Linked DNA regions of Callithrix jacchus. The protein of the gene in region 2 interacts with the protein of the main gene of each other region in a biochemical or structural test. Links are inferred from orthologs where the notes say so. Each region holds a gene or a part of one and is shown on either strand. Other genes may lie near its edges. The genes, in order: SYNJ2BP, ACVR2A and GDF2.

Region 1 (10,256 bases), on a different chromosome or scaffold from region 2:
ATGTCCACCACAAAAAACTCGTCTCTACTTTAAAACTATTGGAATTAGTCTCAGAATAACTCATCTGTATTTGATATGAGATCATTCTCAGATTGTTCTGTGGAATCTCCCAATTCCAATAATCATGCTTGCAATATCCTTTAGCTGTCTATCAGTTCTCCTCGTCTTTATTCAGGCCCAAAGAGAGAAGACTGAAGTAGACTAAGATAAAATGGATAGTTTGTGTATTCATCTAGGGAATATATTCAAGACATAAATATCAGACCGAAAGGTGACCTCTGCAGCAGACTAAGTCTGATCAGAGTTAAGTTAGCTTCCCTCTCTGAGCCTGGATTTTTCTCATCTCCAAGACAGATTCATCCTAGAATCTCTCTGGTCCTTTTTAGGTTCAACGTTCTATGATTGGTTCTCAGTTAATAGAAGCACAAACTGAAACACTCACTAATCATACATTTTGCTGGAGGTTGATCAATCCTTAGCAAATCCGGAGGAAATGAATGTTCTACTTTGTGCAGAAGCTCTGAAAGCTGGGCTCTAAAGGCCCAAGTTTTTTGTTTTTGTTTTTGGCTGAAGCAATGTATGTCATTTAATAACTGAAATAGTGTCTGAGTTTAAATGCCATATAACATTTTCAACTGAGGCTGCACACCAGAATCACCCAATGAACTTTATTTTACTGCTGCCTGAGTCCCACCCTCAGAGGTTCCTTTTAACTGATCTGTGTGTAGCCTGGGCATGAGGACATTTACAAGCTCTCCAGATGATTCTAACCCAAGCAAAGAGAATGATGATTGGCATAGAGCAATGAATCTCAAATTTTAGCATCAATCAGTCACCTGGAGGGATTACTAAAACGCAGATTGCCAGATGTGATGTCACACTCAGACTAGGTCTGGGATCTTGCTTTTCTTTTCTGAGAACTTGCTTTTCTTTTCTTTTCTTTTTTTTTTTTTTTTTTTTTTTTGAGACAAGGTCTCACTCTATTGCTATAAGGCTAGAGTGAAGTGGCACAATCATGACTCACAGCAGCCTCAATCTCCTGGGCTCAAGTGATCCTCCCATGTAGCTGGGCCTACAGGTGTGGGCCACCATGCTTAGTTAATTCGTTTGACTTTTAGTAAAGACAGGGTTTCGCCACATTGTCCAGGCTGGTCTCAAACTCCTGAGCTTGAGTGACCTGCTTGCCTAGGCCTCTTAGAGTGCAGGGATTACAGGCATAAGCCAGCATGCCCAGCCTATGAACTTGCTTTTCTGACAAGTTCCCCAGTAATGCTGATGCTTTTGTCCTAGCTTTGAAAACCACTACCAGTGAGAGAATATCACTGATGCTGGAACGTGAAGTCCTGAGTTTAAATCTGATTCTATTATCACCACCTATATCATCCTAGCAAAGTAATTTATTCTCTCATCTTTAGTCTCTTTCTGACAACAGTTAGATCCCAGAGTTGTGAGGCATGAACTAGGCATGCCATAGTGATAGTGTACTAATCAGAGTTTGGTCCAGTCCCTGGCACAGAACATAATAACAAATATTAACTTCCTTTTTCCATTATACATGGCTAGATGGTACAATTAAGTTAAATCAATAATACATTAATACATGTATTATTAATAATTCAATAATACATGAAGTTAAAACTTCACAGGAAAAGAAAGTACAGATAGTTGAAGCAAACAATCTTATTTTATATACGTAATACAGAGTGATAAATATAGAGAAATGTTTTAAGTACTTAAAAATATCTTTTTTCAATTTTCAAAACTTTGAGTGTAATAATTTAGGTAGCAGAAACATTAGATACAATCTGTAGAAGAAGTATTAGACTCAATATATAAAGAACATAAATTTTTTTACAACCTATAATGGATTCTGATACCTCATGTATAATTTTAGTTTTCTACAGAATCAACAGTATAATCAGTGTAATGCTTAAAACTGTATTACACTGATCTTAAATGCTATTTAATTTCTGAGAAAACCTAAGTTATAAGAGTACATCAGAATCCCTATTATCAATGAAAGCAAAACTTCTACCGATGATGGAAGAGGATACTTTTAAAAAAAATTTACATATACCAACAAGCAAAAAACTAGAGCTTTCATTCCTGTTTGTCCAAACCATGAAGTGATCCTGGGAGGTAAGCAGTTTTGCTGCAGAAGCCACTATACATACCTTCAGAAATAGGAAGGGTACGAGGCTGCGCCCTGCCAGTGTGGCTGGTTGGAGTAAGATCTAGAATACTGTCAGTGTTTTCCTGTGGAACCTACAATGAGTCCGGTTGTCTAAGTGAGTCTCAAAGGCATTAGGTCAAAAGGCACTTTGTCAGGACTGTTTAAAGCAAGTTCCTCCTTATACCAGTAGTTGACCCAGAGGCAAGGTCTTACTGGACCTTTAAAAGCCTTCCCTTTCCAATCTAGCCTGATGCCATTGTGTGACATCTTTTTTTCCCTGAATTCCTAAAAGAAAATGTGATGATTGTCTGTATATCTTCTTTGTTGCTGCATTGTGTTTTGTATGGTATCCTTTTATAACTGTTTTCAAAGGTTACCTAACTTCTCACCTATTTATGAATTCTCTTAACTAGCCTTAACTTGAGCTCCTCAAGGGTCTTTGACTTGTCCCTTTCCTCCACGTAACTTTCTCAAATGCCCCAGTTCTCAGTAACTTTTCTCTTTTGCTGTCTGTAATATAAACATGACCCCTACTTACACTGTCTTTCCTATGTGGCCAATAAGAGTGTTCTCTTCCCAGTTAGATCCCAAAAGCCCTATGGGATGGAGGATACACACTGCACTTCTTTGTAAAAGTGTCTTGACAAAGCTGATGTCCAATCAACATTTGTTTAATTACTAGACTGTCCAAAGCTAGAAATGAAATATAACTGATTGACTGAGTCCTCATAATCTTGCTATCAAAATTATATAAGGCCTATAGTAGGCCAATATATTTGGATAATGGAAATTATTTTCTTAAGAAAATTCAGCTACCCATAGTGCTTAAAACCAGCCTTAAAAGAACATGAACAGGACGGTTCCCACCTTATTGATATCACTGGCATTCTGTAATATCCATTTATTCATATCCTCCTCCTAGGCTACATGAAACACGTATCAAATTTCCCTACCTCCTAAAGCAAACAAAACTCTCTTCCTCCCTCTTGCTGCAAAAAGGTTTAGCCATATGTAGTGTATAGAGCTTTTCAAAAATACTAGCAATCCATGCCCTCTCATTTTAACTAAATCAGAAGCAGAGTTGATGTGACACCCATCTTGCCAGGGAGGCAGTTTCTTCTCTCAGGTTTGTTACTAGAAACCAAAGACAGCCTGAGAGAATTCAGGTACCACCTTGGAGGCACTACCTTATCATTTGTCCTTTTAGAGTTTTCTTACTGGAGTTGACTCCAGCACTATAGCCCTTACCACAATCCTTCCACCTGGTTCTTTTTTTTTTTTTGAGATGGAGTCTTGCTCTGTCGCCCAGGCTGGAGTACAGTGGCACGACCTTAGCTCACTGCAACCTCTGCCTCTTGGGTTCAAGCGATTCTCCTGCCTCAGCCTCCCGAGCAGCTGGGACTACAGGTGTCTGCCACCATGCCCAGTTAATGTTTTGTTTTAGTAGAGATGGATTTCACTGTATTAGCCAGAATTGTCTTATCTCCTGACCTTGTGATATGCCTGCCTCAGCTTCCCCAAGTGCTGGGATTACAGGCATGAGCCACGATGCCCAGCCCCACCTAGTTCTTTAACAAGACTGTGAGATATCAAAAAAGTCACTAGAGCAGCCCAGAGATATGTAAGATTTACCTTTACACCTCAAAGTTTCTTAGATATGAGTCTCGCTAGATTATGACAATTTATCTTATGATAACTCACTGTAGTCAGTTATTATTAGAAATATTGTTCTTCTAATAAGATTTTTAATTAGTCGCTTCAGTTATTTATTTATTTTTTTTAAGTAGAGATGAAGTTTCGCTATGTTGCCCAGGCTGGTCTTGAACGCCTGGACTCAAGCAATCTCCCACTTCAGCCTCCCAAAGTGCTGGGATTTACGGGCACGAGCCACCACACCCAGCCTCAGTGGTTTTTTTAATAAATGAGACTTACAACATCCTCTTATAAGGCTCACTCCCTTGCGCCTATTACATTTGCTCTGTATCTCTTTAAATTCTTCAGTTAAGATCATCCCTTTTATCAGAAACCTAGAAACCACAAAGTAGCTTTCTCATGAGCTCTTTAGTTCTCCATGGCTATCAATATTATACTATAATATTTGCATATGTATGTGTATGTATGTATTTGCTTTTTAAAAAAAGTAAAAATGCTCTTCTCACTCTCCTTGTCTGATATAGGCACCCAGGTATGTAGTTAGAAATTAAATAAAGGCCACAATAATTTCCCAAGGAAGATCATTAAAAAGAAAAATCCCTTCTTCCTCTAATATTACATAGCTGGCCTTTATGTGATGCCAGCTAAGAAAAGAGGTATCGCCTATGGTGAGAGGAAGACTGAATCTTTCTCTCTTTGGGTTATAGCTGAATTTCTATTGAAAGTCCTAGTAAAATACGTAACTTCTCCTTTGTTCTAAGCAAGTGTTTTCTTCAGTTTTCCTTCAAACAATACCTTTACTTTCCCATTAGGATATGAAGAATTGGAGATTCTGAACAGCAAGGTTTGGGGTGGGTATCAGTCACTTCAAATCATGTGCTGGCTACACAAAGGGAAAGACATGGCAGCATAGCAGGGGTGAGTGAAATGTTATCTTCATTGGGAGCACTGAAAGAGAACAAGTTTTTCAAAGTTGTCGCCGGTATCTCATGAAAGCCCATGCTGCTACCACAGTGAGGGCAAACAGTGGCACCAGCACCATAAATATGGGAATACCACTTGGGTCCCCTTCACCTCGATGTCCTACAGGTCCATTCTGCACCTGTAACTGGAAGGGAAAGAAAAACGTTAACTCTAGTGACTAACATGTGTTTACAACTGAAACACCCAGGTTGATACATCACCTGGGTTTGTAGACTATAGCCCACCCAAAGCTGTGTCCCCCAGCAATACCTAGCAGAAGGAGTCCTCTCTTTGTCCTGAGCTGATGCATCAGTGTCACAGGATCTTTGGAAAGAAAATAGGTCTGATGGGGAAGCATTTAACCTTGCTGACCTAAAGCGTCTCCTGAGGGCAAATCAAGTAATTTCTGTTTCTGTACTGCCTGTACCTTGCTTATCGTATCAGGAAAATGAAGACATGAGATAAAACCTATGATCCTATAGGGAACTTGGATACTACTTGGTGAGGAAGAAGGGGGATCTTTCTGGAAATGTCTATTTCAATAATCAGTCATCAAAATGTAGTAAGAGCAGATCTGGGCAATGTCAACGTAGGTGCAATGCCAACATAGGTGCAATGCCATTACTTGAAAAATGCTTTCCAAATCCCAGAAGGCACCCAACTCCCTCCAAAGATGGGGTTTTGCCCTTCATCTGCTCATTTCTAATACTAGAGAGAGATGAAGGTGAATCTATCTGGAATAGATGTAAAAAAGTAAAAAGAAATTATATTCTAGTGGTTATAATTTTCTATTGCCTAAGTGTTTCCTTTGAGGCTGGATGGTCTTTATTTTGGTGATGGTTTTCAAAGTGGCTCTTCTTAATATCAACTTTTAGTGGCTAACTTGCGATAATTATGGCACCATCGTATTTCAGTTAGTTAACTTCCTCATTACAATTCATAAAACGCTGACCCTTCAATCTGAAAGGCAAGACTGCACAAAACACCATTATACCCTCTATTCCACCTCTAGATTTTTCATTCATTTGCTGATGAGCTGTCTTGAGAGGATATAATCAATAGGAAGACATGGTTTTTTGGGCTAGGCCAATTCCTTGAACAGAAGGGTCTTTTTTATTAGGAACTGTTTATGGATGTTTCCTTAAAAGTAAACACTGGAAATAACTTTCCACATACCTTCCAAAACAACAGTAATCATATTGAAGTGTGTGCCTGTATTTACTTGTCTTTATCTACACCACAAATTCTCCCATGCTTTAGAAAGACAAGAGCCAAGGCAGAAGCAACTGATGACCAATATTATTTCTTATTCACCTGTTTTCTAATCCATTACACCCAGATGCTGCTTGCAACTCTGGTTGTTTTCTCAGGTATCTTTCACATTCTGTTTTCTCTACTCCTTTAATAACTCCTCTCAGTCTTCTTAAGCTTCTAAATCCTTAGCCACTGAGTGAGGAAAACAGTGCACCAATTTAAGAAGTAGCAAATTGATTACTTAATTTAAAGGCACATGGGACCTGTGTTGTGAATATACTCAGAAAGTCTCAGTGCTATAAGAGGAATTACATCTACCCAGGATTCCCTTTACAACATCATCCAAATTATAAAACACTAAGAAATAAGAAACAGATGCAGGGATAGGTGCTGCCTTGATGAAATTCCATTTCCTTTTTCCTGGAACTCTTCTATAAACACTAAAGCTTTGGTTAAGAGGGTCACCAAAGGCCGGGCGCAGTGGCTCACGCCTGTAATCCTAGCACTTTGGGAGGCTGAGGTGGGTGGATCACAAGGTCAAGAGATCGAGACCATCCTGGTCAACATGGTGAAACCCTGTCTCTACTAAAAATACAAAAAATTAGCTGGGTATGGTGGCTCGTGCCTGTAATCCCAGCTACTCAGGAGGCTGAGGCAGGAGAATTGCCTCAACCCAGGAGGCAGAGGTTGCGGTGAGCCAAAATCGCGCCATTGCACTCCAGCCTTGGTAACAAGAGCAAAACTCCATCTCAAAAAAAAAAAAAAAAAGAGGGTCACCAAATTGATAAATGAAGGGTTCATGGCAGTGACAGGCAAAAGCAAACAGTGGGTATTAGAAAACCCACCATCTTTGTAGTTAAGAGTTTTATCAAATGGTTTATAAATGAATTTTCTTTTTCTTTTATTTTTTTTTTAAAGGAGTGAAGGAGAGGAAGAAAAAGGAAGAAAAAGAGGGAGAGAGAAGGGAAATGTTGCTTTATTCTAAAAAAAAAAATGGGTATTAATAATGGCCAATGTTTCATTTAAACCTATGAGTAGGTGTGATGTGGTATTGACAAGAATGTATATTTTGTGTATTTGAAGTGGAGAGCTCTATAAATATTTATTAAGTTTACTTGTTCTGGATCTGAGTTCGAGTCATTGATATCCTTATTAATTTTCTGTCTCGTTGAGTCTAAGTCTCTTTATAGGTCTTATGTATCTGGGTGTTAGGATCATTAGCTCTTCTTGTTGCATTGATCCTTTTACCACTATATCTTTGTTGCTTTAAAATCTATTTTATCAGATACGAGAATTGCAACTCCTGCTTTTTATTTATTCATTTATTTTTGCTCTCCTTTTGGTTGGTAAATCTTTCTCCATCCCTTTGTTTTGAGTCTTTGTGTATCCTTGCAAGTGAAATGGGTCTGGATGTAACATGCCGTTGGGTTTTGGCTGTATCTTTTTTTTTTTTTTTAAATATATATTTTATTTTTTGAAAATATTTTGAAAGTAATTAAGATCCCTGATTGGAAGGGGGAAACAAATCAACACAATGAAATTTAGGAACAGAAATGCAAGAGCAGCTGCTGCATCCGGCCCCTTCCACCCGAAGGGCACAGCCAGGAGATGCTCATTTTATGATCCCAAGTGGACGCTGGGGTCCACACAGAAATCACTTAATTACCAGCCTTCTGGTGGAAGGACCCTGCCCAAAGTCAGGGTCAGAAATAGGACAGCTCATCGTGCTTGGCTTTGTTGGTCTGGTAGTTAGACAAGGTCAAGGGCTTGTTTTCGTGAGGGAGACTTTGGAATACTCGCAAGTGGACAAATTCCTCATCACTGACATGCACCTTGATGAAGTAGTTTGTCCCCGCAACCAGCCGGCTCCTGAAGGACACAGCCTCGAACACGGAGAACTTCTTGTTTTCTTTTTCTTCAAGCTGGGACCTCACCTGGTCGGCGATGTTCTGGGTCTCGGCGGTGGCTGGCTGCACGGCGGAGGCCACCCCGCGCATCATCGTGGCGACAGCAGAGGGACTCGGCGAGGGGACTGGGCCTGGCTGTATCTTTTGATTGGGGGATTTAGTCGATTTAAATTTAGGATTATTGCCATTTGATGTTAACTGGCTGTTTTATCCATTCGTTGATGTAAATTCTTCTTTATGTTGATGCTCTTTACTTTTTGGTATATTTTTAGAAAGATTAATACTGGTTGTTTCTTTCTATGTGTAATGCTTCTTTCAGAAGCTCTTGTAAAGCAGGCCTGGTGGTAATAAAATCTCTGAGTACTTGCTTGTTCGTAAAAGATTTTATTTTTCCTTCAGTTGTGAAGCTTAGTTTGGCTGGATATGAAATTCTGGGCTGAAAGTTCTGTTCTTTAAGGATTTTGAATATTGGCCCCTACTCTCTTCTGGTTTGTAGAGTTTCTGCTGAGAGATCTGCTGTAAGTCTGATAGGCTTCCCTTTGTAATTAACCTGACCTTTATCTCTGGCTGCCCTTAGTATTTTCTCCTTCGTTTCAACCCTGGTGAATCTAAGATTATGTGCCTTGGGGTTGCTCTTCTTGAGGAATATCTTTGTGGCGTTCTCTGTATTACCTGGGGTTGAATATTGTCCTGCTTTGCTAGTTTAGGAAAATTTTCCTGAATAATATCCTGAAGAATATTTTCCAGCTTGGATTCATTCTCTCCGTCGCATTCAGATACACCTATCAAATGTAAATTTGGTCTTTTCACATAGTCCCACATTTCTTGGAGACTTTGCTCATTCCTTTTTATCCTTTTTTCTCTAATCTTGTCTTCTCGTTTTATTTCATTAAATTGGACTTCTACCTCTGATATCCTTTCTTCTGCTTGAACAATTTGAGTGTTTAAACCTGTGCATACTTCTCAGAGTTCCTGCATTGTATTCTTCAGTTCCATTAATTCACTTATATTCCTAAGTTGTCTATTCGCATTAGGATTTCATCAAACCTTTTTTCAAAGTTCTTAGTTTCTTTACATTGGGCTGCAACAGTTCTTTTAACTCACAGAAGTTTCTTATTATCCATCTTTGGAAGCCTGATTCTGTTAATGGGATGCGCTCATTCTCCATCAAGCCTTGTTCCCTTGCTGATGAGGAACTGTGATCCTCTTTAGAGGGAGAGGCATTCTGATTTTGAGTATTCTCAGCCTTTTTATGCTGGTTTCTTCCCATTATTGTAAATTTATCCACCTGCCTTCTTTGTAATTACCAACTTTCAAATTAGGTCTCTGAGTGGACGTCCTAGTTGTTAATTCCCAGGGCCAAAATATGAGCAACCCAACTGTGCCGGCCAAAACAGCAGCGTTAAGACTGATGGTGCTTTTCTGCCCGGGAATCTCCAGTCTGGCTTCCTTCTTGAGTCCGTAATAGGCAACTCTGCCTTCCCGGAGCTCCAAACCTCAGTCAGAAGGGGAACCAGTCCCGTTTACTCTGCACCAAGAGCTGCTGCGCCGAGGTACCAGCACAACCGCTGCACTGGCCACAAGAGTCGCGCTGGTGACCCGTGTGGCTCCTCCAAACCTTGGTCAGAAGGGGAACCAGTCCCGTTTACTCTGCACCGAGAGTTGCCACACCGAGGTGCCGGTGAAACCGCTGCGCCGGCCACAAGAGTCGCGCTGGCGACCCGTGTGGCTCCTCCAGACCTCGGTCAGAAGGGGAACCAGTCCTGTTTACTCGGCACCGAGAGCAGCCGTGCCGAGGCGCCGACGAAAACGCTGCGCTGACCACAAGAGTCGCGCTGGCGACCCGTGGAGCTCCTCCACTGGGAATCTTCTGCTCTGTGAGCGACCAAAATTTGTCTGAAAGTGTGGCGTCCTCTCGTTGTCTGAGCTTTCGCTGGGAGCTGCAATCCCGAGATGTTAGTGATCGGCCATCTTGGATCATTCCCCGGTTTATAAATGAATTTTCAAGGGTAGACATATGGTTCCTTCCCTACCAAAAAGTAAAATCAGCTATGGTTTTTTTCCACCATCTTTTTAAAAATTAATGAATTTATTTATTTGCCTTTGGTTCATGTGACTCTTAAAAATTTTTATGTATTTATTTTTATTATTATTTTTTAAAGAGATGAGGTCCCTCTGTAAACCATCTATTTTAATTTGGTTGTCAAGCTTTATCTTTAAGGCATATTACCTTGAAGTGAGGACCTGGGTTATAAGCCATACTGTTGTGAATTTTTCTTTTTTCTTTGAGACAGGGTCTCACTCTC
Region 2 (10,256 bases):
CCTGACTGAAATTATTTCATGGTATATACAAGGCATATAAGAAAAGTATCTAGCCTTTTCTTTTTCCAAAAGAACTTCTCTGATAACTCCTTTTCCCCCAAAACAAAGCAATTTCTCCTCTAAATTCCTAAAACACATGCTTATATTTCTTAAGTACTGCACTCATCCTAAACCATTTACTGAATACCTGTGTACTGGGCAATGGGCTAGACAATGCACACTTGACTTACTACAGAGTTCATTGTCCAGGATATATTTTATTGCCGTAACTAAAGTGTATATTACTTGAGAACACGGTCTTGTGTCTAATAAATTACCTAATCCAATGATTTGCTATGGAGAGTTCATATTAATAAAGTTCTTATAAAATATATTTTCCTATAACATCTGCTATCTAACCTACTTCTTCCATAAATACACATAATAAATGTAATTCTTCAACCATTTTGAGTGAAACTACTCTGAATTCTTATTCTTCTTCCTAAAGAGTTCTAAAATTATTCCCAAATTGCTTCAACCTTTCTTAGGTTTGCGATTGACTCCCACGCCAATCCCTCAATCCTAGAAGAATCCCTATAGAGTGCCCATTTCTGAGCACTCTATTAAATTCCCTTTAAAAGTATAGTGCCCCATATTGAATTTTACATTCAAGTGGCAGTCTGTCCTACAATGAGAGCCTATTACAGTACTCAGAAAATAAAACATTCTTAGTAACACAGGTTACATTGGTTATTTAACTTATAAAATATTCACAATTTCTTCTATGGTCGTTGACAATCAAGGGAAGTTTTTAGGCAACTATAAATTAAAATTTAAGAAACAGATCAAGCTAATTTACATCTGTTTGGGAGTAACAGTCGACAAGTTTTTTTTTTTTTAAACCAGAAAAATAAATAAATAAAAGCAAACATCTGTAAGACTTGGACTTCAATAACAAGAACACAGAATGGAAACCCTTTAACCTGGGGGGCAGGTTAAACAGTTCTGTGTTGTTACTGAAGTCGGCCTTACCAAAGCAGACCTCTCCCTATGTATGGATCAGAGTTCCAAATCTAGGCTTCACCATTCACCAGCTTGAGGCGAAAGTAGTCAAACTACTTAATTTCTCTGTATATTAGTTTCTTCATCTGTTTAGTGTAATATCTACCTCTGAAGCTGTTTTAGGAAATAATCTCATGGTATGTGAAGTGTCCAGCAACATAGCTAGTATTGGTAAAGGATGAATACCCCTGCCTCCTGAATTCTCTACCACCTCTTGGAATCTATTTAAAAAAATAAAAAACAAACAAAAACTGTACTTTTTAAAATATTACCTTTGAATGTATCATCCCTTTTCATACATGTGTGTAGGCATATATACCTTTTTTTAAATTACTTTTTCCCTTACCATCTGCAGCAGTACAGCGAGAAGCCAGTTCCCACAGGACTAATCCCATGGCGTACATATCTATCCTCAAAAATGCATCCCTTTGGAAGTTAATAGCACCCTCTAATACCTCTGGAGCCATATACCTTCGGGTACCAACCTGAAAAAGATGTTAAAAGCAAAGAGTACTCATTCATTAACTTTATGAACTAACACTGTATGATTTTGTAAGAATCAAAACCAAATATCATCTATTACCAGGGTAAGTATACCAGACTATAGTATATAAATAGTAAGATCCTTTCTGCTTATACTTAAAAAATATATCAACAGACATTATGCTAGTACAGACTTGGAAGTTTTTTTGTTCCCCTTTCTAGACGTAATTACAAAAAACTGAACTGACTGTTAGCTGGGAGAAGGCCACTGCATACTTTTCAATTGTACTTTTGCATACTGTTTGAAATGTAGATTACACACAAAAAAAACAAAAAACAACTTTTTTTGAGGTCTTTTCTCTGTATTTAAAAAAAAAACTAATAAAATGTTGTAAAAATAATTAGCCAAGTAAAGGGCACATTGATGTTAAAAAGTTCTATTTGTACAAAATCTATGTATTTGTTTATTCATGAATTCTTCTGTCTTGGAGTCCTTTATTTATATCTGTCCCCAACAATTTGGTATTTCTTAGTACTGTAACTATGGTTACTAAGCTAGTACAGCTAGCTTTGGTTGGTGCTTGACAACATTCATATATAAATGCTTAAAAATACTTGTGAGATAGCTGGGTACATCACAACACACTTGTGATGTATTAGGACTAGAGAGTAGTCTAGATATTGGTACGCCCATAAAGCTCCATCCTTAGGTGGCTGTAATCTCTACTCTAGACTAAAAGTTGGGCAATTTATGCAAATATACATGCAACAGAGATTTTTTAAGAATAAAGACATATCTCTAAGCCTAAAGTTCAAGGAATCTACATGAAAGGGAAAAAGTAGCTCTACTTTTTAAAAATTTTCTACTCTGAATATTTTAATTGTACTGTCAGTGAGTGTTTCCCTAAAGCCTACTTTTCTCTTAAAGATAAATCTATGCCATCCAAAGTACCTACCTTTTTTATTACAAGATTATTGGTTTATCTACCATGTTGACATAAAATGTCACCTCTTTTATATGTGTTCTTCCTTTGTACTATATAAAATGTGCAATAACATGCAAGTCCCTCCAAATAGTTTTGAAATTTTCTGGTCCATGAAATCTAAAGTCAATGAGTCATTTGCCATAAGCAATTAATTTTTAACTCATCATAGAACCCAATTATGAAGTAGTTAAAATATGACATGAATGAGTCAATTTTTTTTTCTCAAAAAATAGGGGAAGGAGGGCTTATGAGGTACCAAATTAAGAACATGATCCCAGAATTTAGTCTTATGATAGTCAATCATTCAATTAGCTGAGAAATTTGTCCTCAGGCTTCCTACACAATCTTGGTAGTATTCTCCACAAAATTGCCTCCATTCCCATATACATTTGCAGTCAACTTTTCTAGAGCTACACGGCTACTGACCATTACCTCAAACTAAATTCTTAAACCATTAGTCAATATTGCCAAAAATTTTTTTGCCATGATTGTTTAAAACCATGACCTCAAGAACTAATAGGATATGCTGGGGAAACAAAAGCTAAGAATTAGTTGGCCAAAAAATTTACATGACATGAAAGATGAAGAAATGATAATGCCAAAGGCCTGAATCATTTAGCTTTGTAGAAAATGTCATCTTTTAGGTTGAACTGGTTTCACTGATTAAAAAGTGATCTTGGCTGGGAAGTGGTGGCTCACACCTATAATCCCAGCACTTTGGGAGGCCGAGGTGAGCAGATCACCTGAAGTCAGGAGTTTGATACAAGCCTGACCAACTCGGTGAAACCCCATCTCCACGAAAAATATAAACATTAGCTAAGAATGGTGGTGCACTCCTGTAATCCCAGCTACTCAGGAAGTTGAGGCAGGAGAATCACTTGAAATTGAGAGGCGGAGGTTACGGTGAGCCAACATCATGCCACAGTACTCCAGCCTGAGTGACAGAGCAAGACACCATCTCAAAAGTAAATTAATAAATAAAAATAAATAAAAGTTGATCTTGTTCCAACCTCAAAGTTTCTGAAAATAAAATGTATGAATAATGTTCTTTTCCCTTTTGGCCTTCAAAAACATTCCCATTACTAAGATCTCTGTGCACACAGAAGTGCAGAGAGGTGTGAAGAATTACACACCTAATTCAGGGGTTTACAATGGTTCTGAACTCTGGAGAGAATCTGGAGAAAAGCCATCAGGCTGATTAAAGAGTTAATGAAGCAATAAACGAGAAGCAAGAAACTATTATTGCATGGGAAAATGGACAGGGAATCTTTAACACACTGTAGTAAGGATAGTGACTAATTACCCTCCTGCTCATCTTAAGCTGGTGAAAAAATTAACAGACTAAAACTACTGAGATAGTATGAAGAACTCCCTAAGAATGAGGTCCATTAAAAGGTGCTGGATTATTCTTTGATCAACTTTTCAAAAAGAATCCTATGACATGCGTCTAAGGATTATTTTATGAAGAACTTGATCTAAACCACCTAAGTCCTCCACCACCATATGAAAATGTCTTCCTCAGAAACTTAAAGATATAACTCTATTAGATGCTGATTTAAACACCACAACAATTTTAGACTAATTCAGTCCTAACATGTCATTCTAAGAAAATATGGAACAAGTTTATTTTTTCTTACATTTCAGAATCATCATCCTTACCTGTCCATGGGTATCACCTGCAGACTTGCCAGCCTCAAATTTTAAGGCCAACCCAAAGTCAGCAATGCAAGCTGTCAGGTTGTTTTTCAACAGCACATTTTTACTTTTGATGTCCCTTGCAAATAAAAAGAGTATTCAAATTAAGTTTAAACAAGTTATCTTTTTCAATTTTTTATTGAAAGTGAAAAGGGGGGGAATATATATACTATGAAATGCAGAGAAAGGGGAAGAGAAAAAGCTCAGAGCCCCCATGTATCCTTAAACACAAGAGTACAGTGACAAACTCCTATTCACAATATGGACAAGAAGAAGTAACCCTACCCATAAGGCAGTTATATAAAAATCTGCTGTGCCAAAAAGATATGTTATCTATGTCTCCCACCTATCAATCATAAAACTGTTTTTTAAGATAATGTTTCAGAGTTCTTACATGCAAACTCCCATAGAAACTAAAATTTAAAAAACAAAATGAAGGAATTTTTTGAAAATAGGTGAATTGAGGTCTTCTGCTTTTTGGCATAGACCTACATTTTAGAATATTCCCTTATTAAGTGGTTCTTATATTCTTCCACCTGGCTGTAGAAAAGTATCTTATGGAATGCATAACAGATCCAATCTTTTTACCATAAACAGACACTGCTCTAGCTAGATCCTGGTGTTCTGAAAGGCAAAACAGTACTAAGGCAATAAGACATCCTATTCTACACACCTGTCTCAACTGGCTTATCCTAGGAACTACTATACCCTAGTTAAATACATGAGTAACTATGCCATGACTAGTGGTTAAATTTATGTACAGACACATAGACCACGAATGGGATATTGAAAGCACAAGGAAATACTCCCAAATGCTATAAAAGCCAATAATCAGTCTTAGCTTCAAAAGACTTTCAGGCCCTTTTCCTAATAACTTTGTGAATTCTTAAGAATTAATTCCCTATGTGGCCAGGTAGGACAAGGGAGAATCCAAGAAGAGGCCATTAGACTGCATGTAAGAGAGTGAGAAGAAAGAAGAGTTATTTCTGAGGTAGATCTCATTTAAAGTTTTCAAAATCAGAACCTAAATTAGCAGCTGACTTACAATAATGCCCCCCAGCAACCTAAAACATCACCTGGTAGCACTCAACTAAATATCTATTCCGTGAGTCAGTTAATGCCTACTTTTAAAACAACCATCTTTAAATTGAACACGAGATGACAAATTGAATCCCATGTTCAAGGAAATTAAATACATGGAAAATTGAATTCTGTGTTTAAAAAACAATCATTTTTTCCTTTTATGGCCATGAAAACTGTTGGGTCTAAGTACTATTTCTTCACTGGACAATTGTTTAAATGATGCCTGCCTCTACTTTGGCTAAAGATAATAAGGTGATTCAAAAAACAAGCAAGGAAGACATTCAAAGTCTCTCCTTCATTACATGCCCTTGTATAACAATCCCTGTAAATCATGTTTTGAGGTAAAACAAATGTCTTTTTCCTTATAGAGATAATATAATTTATAAGATAGAGGAAATACAATTTATTTTCAACCATGCTTTCAGAAATGAGATGAGGTAGATCATCAAACTTTACCAATGATGTTAACATATACATTATAAAAAATACTTCCTGGCCAATCTCAAGACAAATTTTAAAAAAGAAATGAAAATCAACTGTCTTGTAAAGCATGACTGCATAACAAGGAGGAAACTAAAATTTACCCAGGGGCTTAAAAGTTCAGTAAATATATACTCAATTATCTGGGAAAACAACATTTGTCTACCTGTGAGATATGGCAGGTTTGTGGCCATCTTTTAGGCCAGGTATATCCTCATGTAAATATGCCAATCCTCTAGCCATGGTTTCTGCAATATGACACAGTTCATTCCAAGAGACCACATTAGCCTTAAGAAAGTCTGACAGTGAACCCTAAAGAAAAGAGGGAAAAAAAGAAACTTATGTTCTCGACAAAGGCCATATGTATAAGGAGACGTTTCTCTTTACCTAAAAGAGGTTATGGAAGGCAGCGTATCTTTCCTTTCAGGGAAAATTATATCCAAGAAACAATCTTTCTGGAATGGTTCAAAGTTCCTTCCATTTCACATTAATAAACATTTGACCAGAAAGAAATACCACTGAACCTTAAAGGTTTATTACAAGAATAGTCAATTTCCACCAATCTATAAGACACATTTTTTTTTAAAAGACGAATGGAACAATCTAAAGTTCTAGAAAGTATTTTAAAAGCTGAAATATCCTGACTATAGAGATGTTACATCATGAGACTAGGAGAACACAAAATTACAACATAAAAAAACAACTAATATATAGAATATTCCTCTAGAAATTACTGTCGTCCTTTAGGTCAAGAATTAAGTGAAGTAAAAAAGCCATTTATATTTCACAATGATGAAACCAATTACCAAAAACACAATTTCCTACTTCACTAATGGTACTTTCACACTAGCTCTGGAAGTAGAAAAATTGAGGAAAACTAGCAATTATGTTTTGGTGATAATTACCCTGCAAGTTAGTGAGAGTTCAAGGATCAGATAAATTTCCTGTCTCTGGTTTTGTCCCTAAGCAAGACTGATTAAAACTGGAAAAAAAAAATAAAGTTTATGTACTCAAAATGAATTGTAAATGGTAAATGAAAATTACTAAGCATTATCTATACTAACATAAATGTTTATAAGAGTAATTACAGCACAAGAAATAAGGGAAAAAAGGGTGGTTTATATGAGTAGAGTGTTAGTTAAAAAGTTGCTATCGTGCTCACTTCGGCAGCACATACACTAAAATTAGAACGATACAGAGAAAATTAGCATGGCCCCTGCGCAAGAATGACACGCAAATTCGTGAAGCGTTCCATATTTTTTAAAATAAAAATTTTTTAAAAAGTTGCTATCTTCGCTCTTTTATTAAAATGAACTACCTTTTAAAACAGACTTTTATTCAAGAATTATTTTATTTTCAGGTTAAATACTAATCAACTATAACATGTCTAGAAAAATAACTCTGAGGGATTTATAGCCAACATTAGCTAAGCAGGCCAACCCAGACTTTACTAAATTAAAATGTTGAACAGTTTTACCTTTTCATGAAATGCTGTGATTAGCCAAAGATCCACATCAACACTGGTGCCTCGTTTTTCTGCACCAATGAACTGTAATATGTTCTCATGCTTCATTCCAGGCAAACTGTAGACTTCATATTCATTTTGCCATGACTGTTTGTCCTAGAGTCAAAAGGAAAGAATAATAAGAACACAAACAATACAGGTAAATAAACCATGTCTAAGAGATTACTCAAATAAGTTCCAAAGTAAAACAAAACAAAACAAAAAAGTACGAAAAAATCTTTTTGTTCTGTTGTGTAATAAGAAAAAGCTCTGACAATAGGTTAACGAATTCATACTAAAGACCAGCCCTGTCCATTCCCTTAAAACATACTTTTCTGTGTTTCTAGTTTACAAACAAAGAAGTTGATCCGAAATGCTACATTCTGTATCTTACAATGGCAACACATTTGCTTATAAGTTATTGCCAAATATTACATTGTAATTTCATCATGTTGTGAAGTTATTTGTGGTACTATTCAGAATAATCTCCCCAAAAGATGAAATACTGGTAGAATGACTTCCTCAAAACAAAACATTTCTTTTTTTCAAAGGATAACATCAAACATCCTTTAAAAAATGTTTAGCATACCCTGCAAAGTCAAGGAGAAAGCAAGTGGCATAGATTTGCAATGCAATAATTTAAGACACCATATGTTCATTTGTGCCTGTAAGCAATCCATGCCTACTAAATACCTACTTATAAAAGATTAGTTTCTTTTTACTACAAAAAGACAACGATAGTGAGGGACACTATGGCATAATGGTTAGAAACTCATAGAAACCCTCTGAATCCAAACTGTCCAAACTTAAATCCTGGCTCTCCCACTAACCTTTGGCAAGTTACATAATCCTTCAGTGTCCTCAATAAGTAGAACAGGCATTGCAGTGTATGTCTTATAGGATTGTTGTAGCATATGTTGCATTTTATGTACATGTCAGTAATATACATACACATATTAGTGAGGACTCATGTATGTAAAGCACCACTACCTGACCCAATAAAAGCATTCACTAAAATGTTAGCTACTGTTGTTGGGCTAAGGTTAATATCATCCAAATGTTTTTCTCTGATCTTTATGCTTTCTTGCACCTGGAAATAATTTCTTCCCTTATCTTATTTATGAATCTTGGCACAACAGAATGCCCTTTTTCTCTGAAAACTAAACTGTGGTTTACAACTACAAATAAAATGTAATACAATTCATAAACTCTATGTAATACAGTTCATAGACTGGACAGGCATTAAAGGAGGTAAGAAGGTTAAAATCTAGGTATATTAAGACAAAGAAATTGCTTATATGACAACTTTGGAAAAAGAAGATCCACTCTCTAAGTGTAGTGGTAGCGCCTGTATCACCAAATTCAGCCAAGATGTCAGTACCAAGGATATCATAAACCGCCAGGGTATATAAGCAAGAGGCAGTGAAGAAAGAATCATCATAAATCTACACCACCAACAGAACAAAACAAAATAGCTCAGAGGTGTATCAGATCAGAGTTTCATGAGAGGTCCAGCCAACCTCTAAAAGAAAAACAATTCAACAATAAACTGATTATTTGAAGTCTTGATTGTCTCTGAAAATGCATCAAAAAACTAAACTAACTAAACAGTCAAAGTAGAATGAAAATAAATCAAGTCTAGCAATATACCTCCAAATAGCAATTCTAAAACAAAGCATACCACTCCTTTGTTTCTCTGTTTGCTTTTTCTGACAATGTAAGGGGATATCAAAATTTAACCACTCAATTAGACTTGTTTATTGGAATCTTTATTTAAACATTTCTATAAAATTTTCATTGGCAAAAGATCTCCTATGCATTCATTTATTTTAATTCCACCACTCCAGACAAACATAATGAATGTTATACTAACAAATCCATTTCTCAGATGCAAAGGCAGCCATTAAAAGAGCTAACTGCTTTCCCAGTAACACAAAGAACCATCTTGGAACATATGGCTTCTGTTTTGAGACTATTTCTGAGTTATGATGACCTAGCCATAAAGCATATATGTAAGATAACAAAACTGCAATAAACATACCTGTATTGGAAATATTTTGACAGCCACATATTCATTGAGCAACTGGGCTTTCCAGACACAACCAAATCTTCCCCTTGCTTTCACTTCTAATAACTGCAGTGGCTTCAAACCTAGTAATGGAGAAGGTGGGGGTGGTCCTGGGTCCTACAGATAAACAACAATACTACTATAAATAGGCAGAACATGATACATATCAACTCTGAAAATGAGAAAAAAAGTGAGTGTACTGAAAAGTCAACTGACAGAAACAGTAAACACATATGGATGACATTCATTTCAATTTTGCCATAATTATATTACCAATTATCTATAGTGATCACAAGGCAGGCAACCTGAATTAAGAGTTTTCATAGTAACATTCAGCATTACTGCTATATATGTAGCACAAGAGAAAATATCTAAAATATTTCTGATACAGTCTCACTAATTTTCCCCACTAAGATTTTCTGTGAACTATGAATTACTAAAAGTATCTCATTTATTTCATCCAGTTTGTACTTCCTTAGAAGAGGAATTGAAAAGCACCAGAAACAGCAAATTATGGCTATATATCAGTGAAAATCACTCCTTAACATCTACTACTTTTTCCAGTGACTGTTTAAAATTTTTCTTCATTAATCTCAGAGACACCCGCAGTCATTCTTAAACACATTGCAGATAGGTATATCAAATATAAAGCACATACCAGAAATGTCAGTTAATATTTCTTTAACCAAACTGGTTCATTCTAATTTTCAACATATTAACAATTCATCCCTTTGTTCTGAGGTAAAACATTATCTGTATTCTGGAATTGACTGACTGGCAAAGAAGCACAAATAAAAAATCCAGAAAAGAAGTGGTCATCATAATAGATAACAGAATATGGTAAACAAAAGAAAAGTACGCTGCTATAGTTTTTTTTTAAAAAATAGAGCAAACATAATATATAAATAGGAATACA
Region 3 (9,534 bases), on a different chromosome or scaffold from region 2:
CCGTAGGCAGCGCCGAGGAAGAGACAAAGCTAAACTTATTTTTAAAATTGATTTAATTAAAATTAATATATTGAATCTTTCCATATTAAATTTTGATTTTTAAGATACAGACACGGAGTCAAGATTTCTCTTTCAAAGACTATGAGTATTGGGAGGCTCTTTAATAGAAACTTCTCGTTGATCTGATCTTCAATCCTTTGGTTAGTGGTAAGAGCAGCCGCCTTCCACTGAGGGCTCAGGGCACGCCAGTGCCGACGCCTGGGCGGGACCAGCATCTGCATGCACCTCATCTCCCTGACTCTGGGCTCCGGTCAGGACTCATGTAGTAGTAGCAGTCTGAGCTATTTGGGAGGCTGAAGAGGGAGGATTGCCTGAGCCCAGGAATTAGAGGTTATAGTGGGCTAAGATCACTGCACTCCAGCCTGGGCAACAGAGCAAGGCCCTGTCTCAAATAATCATTTTGAAAATCAATGCCGAGTTGTTGCAATTTTATTTTGCCAAGTCTGAATGTTATTTAAAAAAAATCAACCTATTACTTATTGTGGCTATTATTTCCTAGAAAGTAGGAAGATATTTGAACACTCCCAAACTGTATTTGGCTTTTACAAACAATATTTCATTGTCCTCATTTTTCTCACGTTGATCCAGAAAGTGACCCAGCCCCTGGCCCCTGGTTGGCCTGAACCCTGCCCATTTCTACCATAGCCTAAACCCCTCTGCTCTCCAGGGAGATGGCTTTTATGTCACGGCTCTCTGGGACCAAGGGGACCCTGGAGTCAGAGCAGACGCTCATGAGAGGGTGCTGCGAAGAGATGGACTTTGGCTCAGGCCTGGGCACATCCTCCTGATAAATGGGCATGTTCACATGATCTGGGCTTTCTGGAGGAGTGGTGGGTGGCTGAGCCAGAGTGCTCCAGGGAAGCTGAGGTCATTGTTCTGCAGATTTCTACCTGGAGTAGGTGCTATCTTCCAAGGCTCAGATTCTACGACCTGTAAAGGAAAAGAAAAATGTTCTGAAGGTTTCTTCAATCTGACCCTGCATAAACCATCTGTGTTCCCTGCTGATTTGAGGTGTGGCCCGTCTTGGGCATGGTTTCCTTGGGAGAAGGACAGGGAAGAAATGGCAGCAGTTCTGACCCCTCCCCCAAGGCACTGATGCACCATGTCACAGGCCAGCCTTTGAGAGATGAACAGTTTTCCTGCCCTCGGCTGACACATTGGAGAAACCTCAGGGCTTCCTCATCCTGCACCTGGGGAGGCGGGCAGGGCTGACTTAGCAGCAAAGTTCAGACTCCTGTCTTCCCAGGACCAAGTCACTCCTGAGGCCTGAAATAGCTGCCGAGTACCTCAGGGACTTGAGAAACCAAGATGCCACCCTCTACATGCATTCAGAATTGGCTGTATTGTTGGTGGGGCTGAGTGCAGAATGAAAATGTGGGCCCCTTGTTCAAAACTTATTACACATTTCAAGATGGCAACAGCAGACCATTCAACCAAGCCCAGAGCCTGAGCGCCTGTTGGGCCACACACCCGAGCCTGTGAACACTGGAGCGCTCTCAGAGCCAGGTCCCTTGCAGGTGAAAGGCCAGTGTGGCCCTACTGGCCTCTCCTCTGTCTCTTTGCACCATCACAGCTGGAGGCTGGGCCTGCTGCAGGGGCTGTCATGGAAGGGATCGAACCCCCAGAGGTGAGGGTGGTCCAGGCTCCATTGCTGCATACCTGGCACTGTCTCTTCCACCTACCTTCCTCGTCTGCAGAGGAGCAAACCCACCTTACTGAGGGCTACTGTAAGGATGACTGGAGATGATGGTGTGCAGCCTTCCAGGTTCAGGTGAGCCTATCTTAAGAGGCCCAGAATAAGGGGCCCCAGGGGCAGGCATAGCAGAAATCTAAGGAAGACTCTGAGGAGGAGCTGATGTCCAGGGCAGAGAGAACGAATCAGAAGAGCCGGATACAGAACCAAAGCCTTGGTGTCCCACAGGGAAAAAGAGCTTTGGCGTTCAGTGGAGTGGGGCTTCCCATTCCAGCTGTGCTGGGGAGTTAAGCCAGGCTCAAAATAGACAAGGCTGCACACTCTCAGAAGCACTGACCTGGGATTCCACCTCTCTTCCAACTCTGGTAGAATTCTGGAAGAGAGCATCTAGTCCAGGTAGAAATCTGCAGAACAGTGACCTTGGCTTCCCTGGAGCACTTTGGCTCAGAGTCCAGGGAAGGGAGAGTCCAGGGAGGGGAGAGTCCAGGGAGGGTGGAGCCCAGGGAGGGCAGAGTCCAGGGAGGGGAAGTACAGGGAGGGGAGAGTCCAGGGAGGGTGGAGCCCAGGGAGGGGAGAGTCCAGAGAAGGTGGAACCCAGCGAGGGGAGAGTCCAGGGAGGGGAGAGTTCAGGGATGGGAGAGTCCAGGGAGGGGAGACTCCAGAGATGGCAGAACCCAGGGCTGGGAGAGTCCAACTTGGGGGAAATCAGGGAGGGGAGAGTTCAGGAAGGGCAGAGCATAAGACACGGCAGCACCCTGGTAGAACAGAATTTGCCCACGAGAGCATAGATTATTTATTTGATCTTATTTATGCCCTTGTTTTGATTTTTCCTGCAAGTGTGACTTTGATCTTGACACTGAAGAAAGCACCAGGACTCCATACAGTAGAGAGAATCTGGGCTTGGTGTCCCAAACTGGAGCTCAAATTCTGTCTCCAGCAGTGGCTGGCTTGGCTTATGGTTCTAGCAAAGCGTGAGGGCTTCACATGCTTCTGTCTTCTGTGTGTTTGTAAAAGGCAGAACGAAGACTCCTACTCATCTGCTGGTTATTTAGAGCCACTGAAGGCAGCTCTGGGCCAGGGCAGGTTTCAGAGGTGCTCCTGGCAGCCTCTCTGTGTCCCCATCGTCTTGCTACCTCTGTCTCTCCATGTGTCTGGCTGCTGCTTTCTATATGGCATTCCTGAGCCTCTCTCCCCTCGCTATGGCACAGAGGTCAGGGCACAATGAGGGGCAGAGGACAGCCTGGCCATCCTGCCGAGTCAGTGCATGGGTAGGGACAGGCCCCTGGCTTTGCTGGACTTACACTTCTTCATCCATGTGACAGTGATAAGATTGCCATCCTGATGAAATGCAAGGGAAATACTTCAGGAAACTTGATGAATGCAGTCTTGAACTGGTGGTCATCAGGCAGAGGAAATGTGATCAAAAGAATAACCCAGTGACATGGAGGCTGGGAAACATGCCATGGGTGTTTCCTTGCATGCTCTGTCACTGCACATGGGTACAAATCATGTTTGCCCTCTGGGAGTGACTAAGGTGAGCACACAGGTCTTGTCCCCAGGGGACTCAAGACAAGATGTCAGCAGCTCTCAGTGCCAGGCCCACGAGGACTGTGCAGGAGGAGGACTGTGGCCCTCCTCAGAGCCCGAGAGGCCCAACCGGAGCATCAGGAGGCGGGTAGGATGGCAATACAGTAGCTAGGCCACCAGAAGACTGGCTGGGGCTATGGGACTGGGAGTGGGGTCGGCAGGGCAGCGCCCCTGCAGGCAGAGAATAAGAAGGTGGTGTTAGGCTGGAGAGGAGAGGAGGACTTAAGTGTTGTCTTTTAGGGCATTCAGGGTCTGCCTCTCCTGATATACGGGGAGGTAGAGGAAGGCAGGTAAGTAAGTGTCATCTTTGATTTGCAAACCCCTACAAACAGGTGCCCCACCCCCTCACACACAGAAGCCCATACAGGAGCACACCACTCACGTCAATGTGCAGACACCACATCACTCAACCCCAATGTGCGCACACCACATCACTCACCCCAATGTGCACACACCACAACACTCACCCCAATGTGCATACACATCACTCATCCCAATGTACACACACCACATCACTCACCCCAATGTACACACACCACTTCACTCACCCCAGTGTGCACACACCACATCACTCACCCCAGCGTGCACACACCATATCACTCACTCCAGTGTTCACAGCACATCACTCACCCTAGTGTACAGACACCAGCCACCTACATCCACCCGGCCCTGGGGCGGCTGCCTGTCCCTCCCCTCTGCCCCATTAGGAAGGGGAGGCCCATCCCAGTGGGGTCTGGAGGGTGTAGCAAGCAGAGTATGTGTCTAGATCGTCCTCAAGATCGGGTCTCACATTCAGGAGGGACTGCAAATTAGACATTTGACTTTATTTCCGAGTGAGACTTTCAAGCAGGCACAGAAACACCACCAGTACTGAAAGAAGATGCTCAACACCCAACTTGGAACAGCATTGAAACACCACACTGCCCGGCATGTGCCAGAAATTCATGTTTTCTTTAACACCAGTAAGTAAACCAGAATGTTTCATTGTATTTTTGTGTTAAAGTTGTTCATTGGTTCCATGTAAACATTTAACATAATGCTTTCCCATCCCCTCCCACACACACTGTTTAAAAAAAATAAATGGGAGCAGCCCTGGCCTCTCTAAGCCTCCCCTAGGCCCTGCTCTGGCTGGAGGTCAGAGGGCCATGGGTGCACTCTTCACTACTTTCAGAATCTTCCTCATACTGCCCCATTCCATGTGTGGCCAGGAGATTCGGAGGAGAGGGTGAAACACTGAGCAGGTGGAAGGTGCGTCCTCCCTTGACTTCGTGGAGCCTGGGTCTGGTCCCAATCCAAGCTCAGGCAGGGCTCTGGGATGCACATGCATGACTCAAGAGAGCAGGCAAATGCAGGCAGAGCCAGTGATTGCCCATAAGGACTGTAGCTCTTCTGAGGCTGGGGAGGCCTCCTCCAGGAAGGCTGGAGTCTTGTCACTTGAGGACATGTCACCAAGGCATTAAACTAGGAATGTTTCAAAGACCAAAGCACGAGCACATTTAATTCCAACAAATTCAAATCCAGGCCTGTCTCCCATGGGGTTGTCACTGGGGACACCCTGGATACCATATGCTGGTGATCTGGCTATGCTGAGTAACGGCAGAGACACCGGCCCCAGGTTGCCCCGTCCCTCAAGGGAAAGTGTGGCCCGCCCTCTCAAACGGTCACATGGTTTCAGCCATGGACGGCGAGTGGTCCCGTGTGCGCCATTGGCCGCAGGAGCACTGCATGAGGGGGTCATAGTGTATCATGCAGCCCACAAGGCTGCTGTCCTGACCTCTCTGTCTGTCCTGCTGTTGGCCGGAGATAGTTTCTCAGTGCCTCAGAGGAGATATTAAAAAACATTTGGCCACTGAGTGAGCACTGGCAACAGTGGCCAGACCATGCCCTGGATGTGCCAAGCAGCCCAGTCACATTTGTGACTGATGAGCCTCAGCCCGGCCTGGCCTGAACACTCCTGGGCTCCCAGTGACTCACTGCTCTTTAGCTAGGGAGGACCTGCTAAACTGCAGCGGGGCACTTGGGAAGATCCTGGGCTTTGGGGTTCCACAGAGCTGGGTTGGAATTATGCCATTGATCAATGCTACTTCATGTGCCTGCGTTTTGGTCTCTGTGTCTCTAAATTGGAAGCCATGCCCCTCTACCTGGGTTGTGGGAAATAATGTGCAGTGATGGATGTGGAGCATGGCCTGCTCCTTCCCTCCACTCCGCAGGGTTTTGGAATGAGCCCGCCCTCCTCCACCTCTCTAATCTCCATCAGTCTCTGCAGTCACCTGCCCACCTGTGCTCCTCTGGCTCACTGCTGCTCAGTTTTCTGCTGACTCTGAAATATTTTTCCCCTTGTCTGCTTTTTGTCACCTCCTTCCACCCCAACAACCCTCCCAGGCTTTCCTGTTGTGCTCAAACCCCCATTTCCTTAGGGTTCCCTGGCAGTTGAATTGGTGGTGTGTGCTTTGGGTGGGGGATGGGGTGGGACAACAGGCTCCCTTTCCCCCTCCAGGCTGGCATGCAGATAGAATCAGTCCTTGTTGTGCCCAGGGGGATGCAGGACCTCTCGTGAGGAGCCCCTTTCACCTGCCTCCCCAGCCCCACAGGCAGGTACTACCTGCACCCACACTCTGCCACACTCATGCCCTCATAGTGGTACTTGAGGGTGGGCACCCCCATGTCATCCTTGTAGAGGACAGAGATGGGGCTCAGTTTGGTGGGCACACAGCAGGCCTTGCCCACCTTTGTGGGGAACTTGAGATGCACCAGGGTCTGCACAATCGCATGTTTCGTCGGCGTCACGTCATCGGCCAAGGGAAAGAAGCAGCCACCCTTACACTCGTAGGCTTCGTACTCCTTGGGCGCGATGATCCAGCTGTCCCAGCCAATGTCCTCAAAGTTCACCAGCAGAGAGGTCTTCTGACAGTGGCTGCCCGCCCCGGCACTCCTTTTCCGTCTGGCTAAAGTTGGTCCTGCAGCCACGTGGCTGTCCTCGCGGCTGCTCTCACCTGCCTCTGTGGAGCCATCCTTGGACAGCTTCTTGAGCACGCTCTCTTGCTCATGGCCGATCATCTCCCTGAGCTCCAGCCTGGCCTCCTTAGCCCCGCTGCTGTGGTCATTGGAGAAGACGACAAAGAAGGGCAGGTTTCCAGAACCTGGAGGAACACTGATGTCCAGCTTGTCACAGCCCTTCCTGTGACTCTCCACAGTCACTTCCAGCTTATTTTTGCTCTTAGTGGAGTCAGCCCGGACCCAGCGCTTCACGGCGCTGGACACTTCCAAGGTCTCCCAGCCCTCATCCCGAATGTCCTGGGACACCAGCAAGTTCTTGGTCCCGGCAGCACTATCCCAGGCATCTGTTCCATCCAGAACATCGTAAATGACCATGCTTCCTTTCACGTCGTGAGAGGCATCCACGTGATTTTGACAGGAGACATAGAGTCGGAGCTCGGCCCTGGTGATCTGCTCGTGCCTGGGAATGGAGATGTTGAAGAGCAAGATGTGCTTCTGGAAGGGGAAATCCTCCGTGGCAGTTACCGAGATGGCATCTGAAATGCAAACATACCTGGTGGGCATCTGCTGGCGGCTCTGTTTCTGTGACCTGAAGCTAAGTCTCAGGGTTTAGACAGAAGAACATCTGGGCTAACAGTTTTGGTCTCTAATCTCTATTTGGTTTCACCCAAGCCCTTAAGATAGAAGGGTATTTTGAAAGGCACATTTAAGATCTTCCAAAGAAAAGCAAAGGCAGGAGATGCCTCCAACTGAGACTGACAACTCCTACTGTTTCCCGAGCATCTACTATGTGACAGGCATTACACGGGAAGCTTGGCAGAATACATCTCACATTAATCCTCACACTCACCCTGGGAGGATCTAACTATTATTCCACGTTTACAGATGTGGAGACTGGGACTCAAGGCTACCAAAATGCACACAGCTAGTTAAGTATCCTGGCACTTAGTAGCACACAGATAGTTGAGTACATAAAGAAAGCAGCAAAACTCACTGTCAGGTCCTGAGTAAAGATTCTGAGTGTATGAATTTAAAGGAGAGATCCTGGGTGGGGACAGGAAAGCTCAATATTAAGACAATGTTAAAAATCTCAGCATTAGCTGGGCATGGTGGCGCGCACCTGTAGTCCCAGCTGCTCAGGAGGCTGAGGCAGGAGAATTGCCTGAATCCAGGAGGCGGAGGTGGGCCAACATCGTGCCATTGCACTCCAGCCTGGGTAACAAGAGCGAAACTCCATCTCAAAAAAAAAAAAAAACAAAAAACAAAAAACTCAGCATTTGCAGTGTCTAAGTTGTCTGGAATTGTAATTTCCAAACAAAGTGAAGGTGGACGGTCGTTTTCAGGGCTTGAGGGAAAAAACCTATTGGCTTAAATTGCTTTGTCATGTCAATCAAAAATGGGGCTTGCCTTTTAGCCACATAGTTGTCTCAATTTCCCATTGATCCTGGGCTGACACTTTGTCATTAGCATGCTCCTGCTATACCGTGGCTGGCTCACAGGCAGGGGAAAGTTTGCATTTTTTGAGCACTGGCTGTGCCCACATGTGTGGAGACCCTGTGCTGTAGGGAAATCCAGCCGGCAGGTTTTGACGTTCCAGTCCTGCCTCTGCAGACCGGTTAGATCTGGCCTGGCTGTGGTATGGAGCTGGGGCCCTTAGCCATTTGCAAGTCTCAGACCCAGGAGGGGAGAGGCCCTGTGCTCCTGGACATTCAAAGGGAGAAAGCAGCAGCAAAAGCCAGCTGTGCAGGCAGACAGGCCTAGGTCAGAATCCAGTGGCTTAACACTTCTTAGGAGACTTGGGTAGATACCCTGGGTGGCTGCAAGCTTTGACTGAACAGTTTCGCTGTTCAGAAACTCATTTCACCTGCATCATGTGAGCTTGACTGAGTTAGGACATAGGTTCTAGGTCCATGTTTGTTATCTTCCAGTCCTTCTAAGTCAGACATGTTTCTACTTAAAAACGATTAGGTTCTCTTCCAACATTTCTCTGTTAAAGAATTTTATCTGATTTTTAAAACTCTTTCACAAGAAAGGAATAGATGTGCTTTCAAAGTTTAAAAATATACAAGTTAGTTGGGGAAGAAATAGGTTGTCTGATCTGTTTTGAAGTAGGAAGAGGACAGGAAGTGAAGGGGGAAGGGAAGAGAAGTGAATCAGAGCAGGGAGATGGAAAGAAGAGGAGAGCAAAGGGAAGCGGGGGAAAAAAGGGGAGCTGGCATCCCTGTGCACCTGCTGTGTGAAACATGACACACAGCCCAGAGAAGGTGAATCCTTCAGAGCAGAGCGGCCGAGTAGCACTCTCAGTGACAATGAAAATGTCCTGCAATCTGCTCTGCCTGATAGCAAAGCCATTAGCCACACATTTGAAAGGAAGCTGGTGAGGCCAAAGAACTACATTTTAATTTTAGTTCATTGTAACTAATGTAAATGAGTTTGAAGAGCCTCCTATGGCCAGCAGCCTCCACGATGGTCAGGGCAGCTGTGGACCTGTGAGCCCCACCCCAGTGCGCCTGATGCAAGCAGAGACGTTACCTTCCATGCTGAAGCTCCGCACGATGTTGGACGCTGGCGTGGTTGACTTATCGGACATGTACCTGTTGTACAGGTCGATCATGTACTGCGGAGGCTCCACTCTGGTTTTGTCCTGCGAAGGGACCCCGCTCAGGTTAAGGCTGCGTAAGAAATCCACCTTCATGTTCTCCAGAAACAGCTTCAGGTTGAAGGTGTGCTCTGGCAGCTCACCTCCAGGCACCCGCAGTGGGCTGTGGGCATTTCCCCCAGCAGACCCTTGTCCCCAGCTCTGCAGTGGCTTCCCCTGTAGGGAGCCGGCCAGCAGGGACAGCAGGGGCAGGGCCACCCACAGTGCCCCAGGACACATCTTGGGCCCACGCAATTACCCAGAGAGGAGATTGCAGGCAGCCGTGCCGTGTTAGCAGGCTCGGGGAGGAGCTGGGAAGGAGCAGGCGGGCATCTCCCTGCTGTTTGCTCTGAAGGAACCGTCCTGGCCAGTGCCCACTCTTGCCTGCCGCCAGGCTGGATTGTCCTCTACTTGTGCTAATTTGGTCCTCGATGCCTCACTCCACCCTCTTATCTGAGGGAGCCCTTCGTTAATGAAGGCTCTATAAACATCTGACAAATACACAGGGCATGTGGGAAGGACATGGCCTACTGTAAAGAATCTGCGCTTCTCCTGGGGG

Evidence for each region.
Region 1: the proteins of ACVR2A (region 2) and SYNJ2BP form a complex in vitro, tested with the Homo sapiens proteins (2 studies listed by BioGRID and IntAct, with this or other methods). The link is inferred for Callithrix jacchus from reciprocal best matches to the Homo sapiens genes ACVR2A and SYNJ2BP.
Region 3: the proteins of ACVR2A (region 2) and GDF2 form a complex in vitro, tested with the Homo sapiens proteins (2 studies listed by BioGRID). The link is inferred for Callithrix jacchus from reciprocal best matches to the Homo sapiens genes ACVR2A and GDF2.

What each region holds. Positions count from the first base shown.
Region 1 is NC_133509.1:105,334,893-105,345,148, forward strand, and holds part of SYNJ2BP (synaptojanin-2-binding protein), read right to left. Parts: exon of another isoform or gene 4,941-10,256; intron 4,935-4,940; coding exon 4,794-4,934; 3' UTR 1-4,793. UniProt on the Homo sapiens protein: Regulates endocytosis of activin type 2 receptor kinases through the Ral/RALBP1-dependent pathway and may be involved in suppression of activin-induced signal transduction.
Region 2 is NC_133507.1:82,453,317-82,463,572, forward strand, and holds part of ACVR2A (activin receptor type-2A), read right to left. Parts: intron 9,458-10,256; coding exon 9,314-9,457; intron 7,390-9,313; coding exon 7,246-7,389; intron 7,030-7,245; exon of another isoform or gene 6,923-7,029; intron 6,081-6,922; coding exon 5,935-6,080; intron 4,285-5,934; coding exon 4,170-4,284; intron 1,527-4,169; coding exon 1,388-1,526; intron 1-1,387. UniProt on the Homo sapiens protein: On ligand binding, forms a receptor complex consisting of two type II and two type I transmembrane serine/threonine kinases.
Region 3 is NC_133513.1:41,183,816-41,193,349, reverse strand, and holds GDF2 (growth/differentiation factor 2), read right to left. Parts: upstream 9,431-9,534; 5' UTR 9,216-9,430; coding exon 8,870-9,215; intron 6,874-8,869; coding exon 5,939-6,873; 3' UTR 4,153-5,938; downstream 1-4,152. UniProt on the Homo sapiens protein: Potent circulating inhibitor of angiogenesis. Signals through the type I activin receptor ACVRL1 but not other Alks. Signaling through SMAD1 in endothelial cells requires TGF-beta coreceptor endoglin/ENG.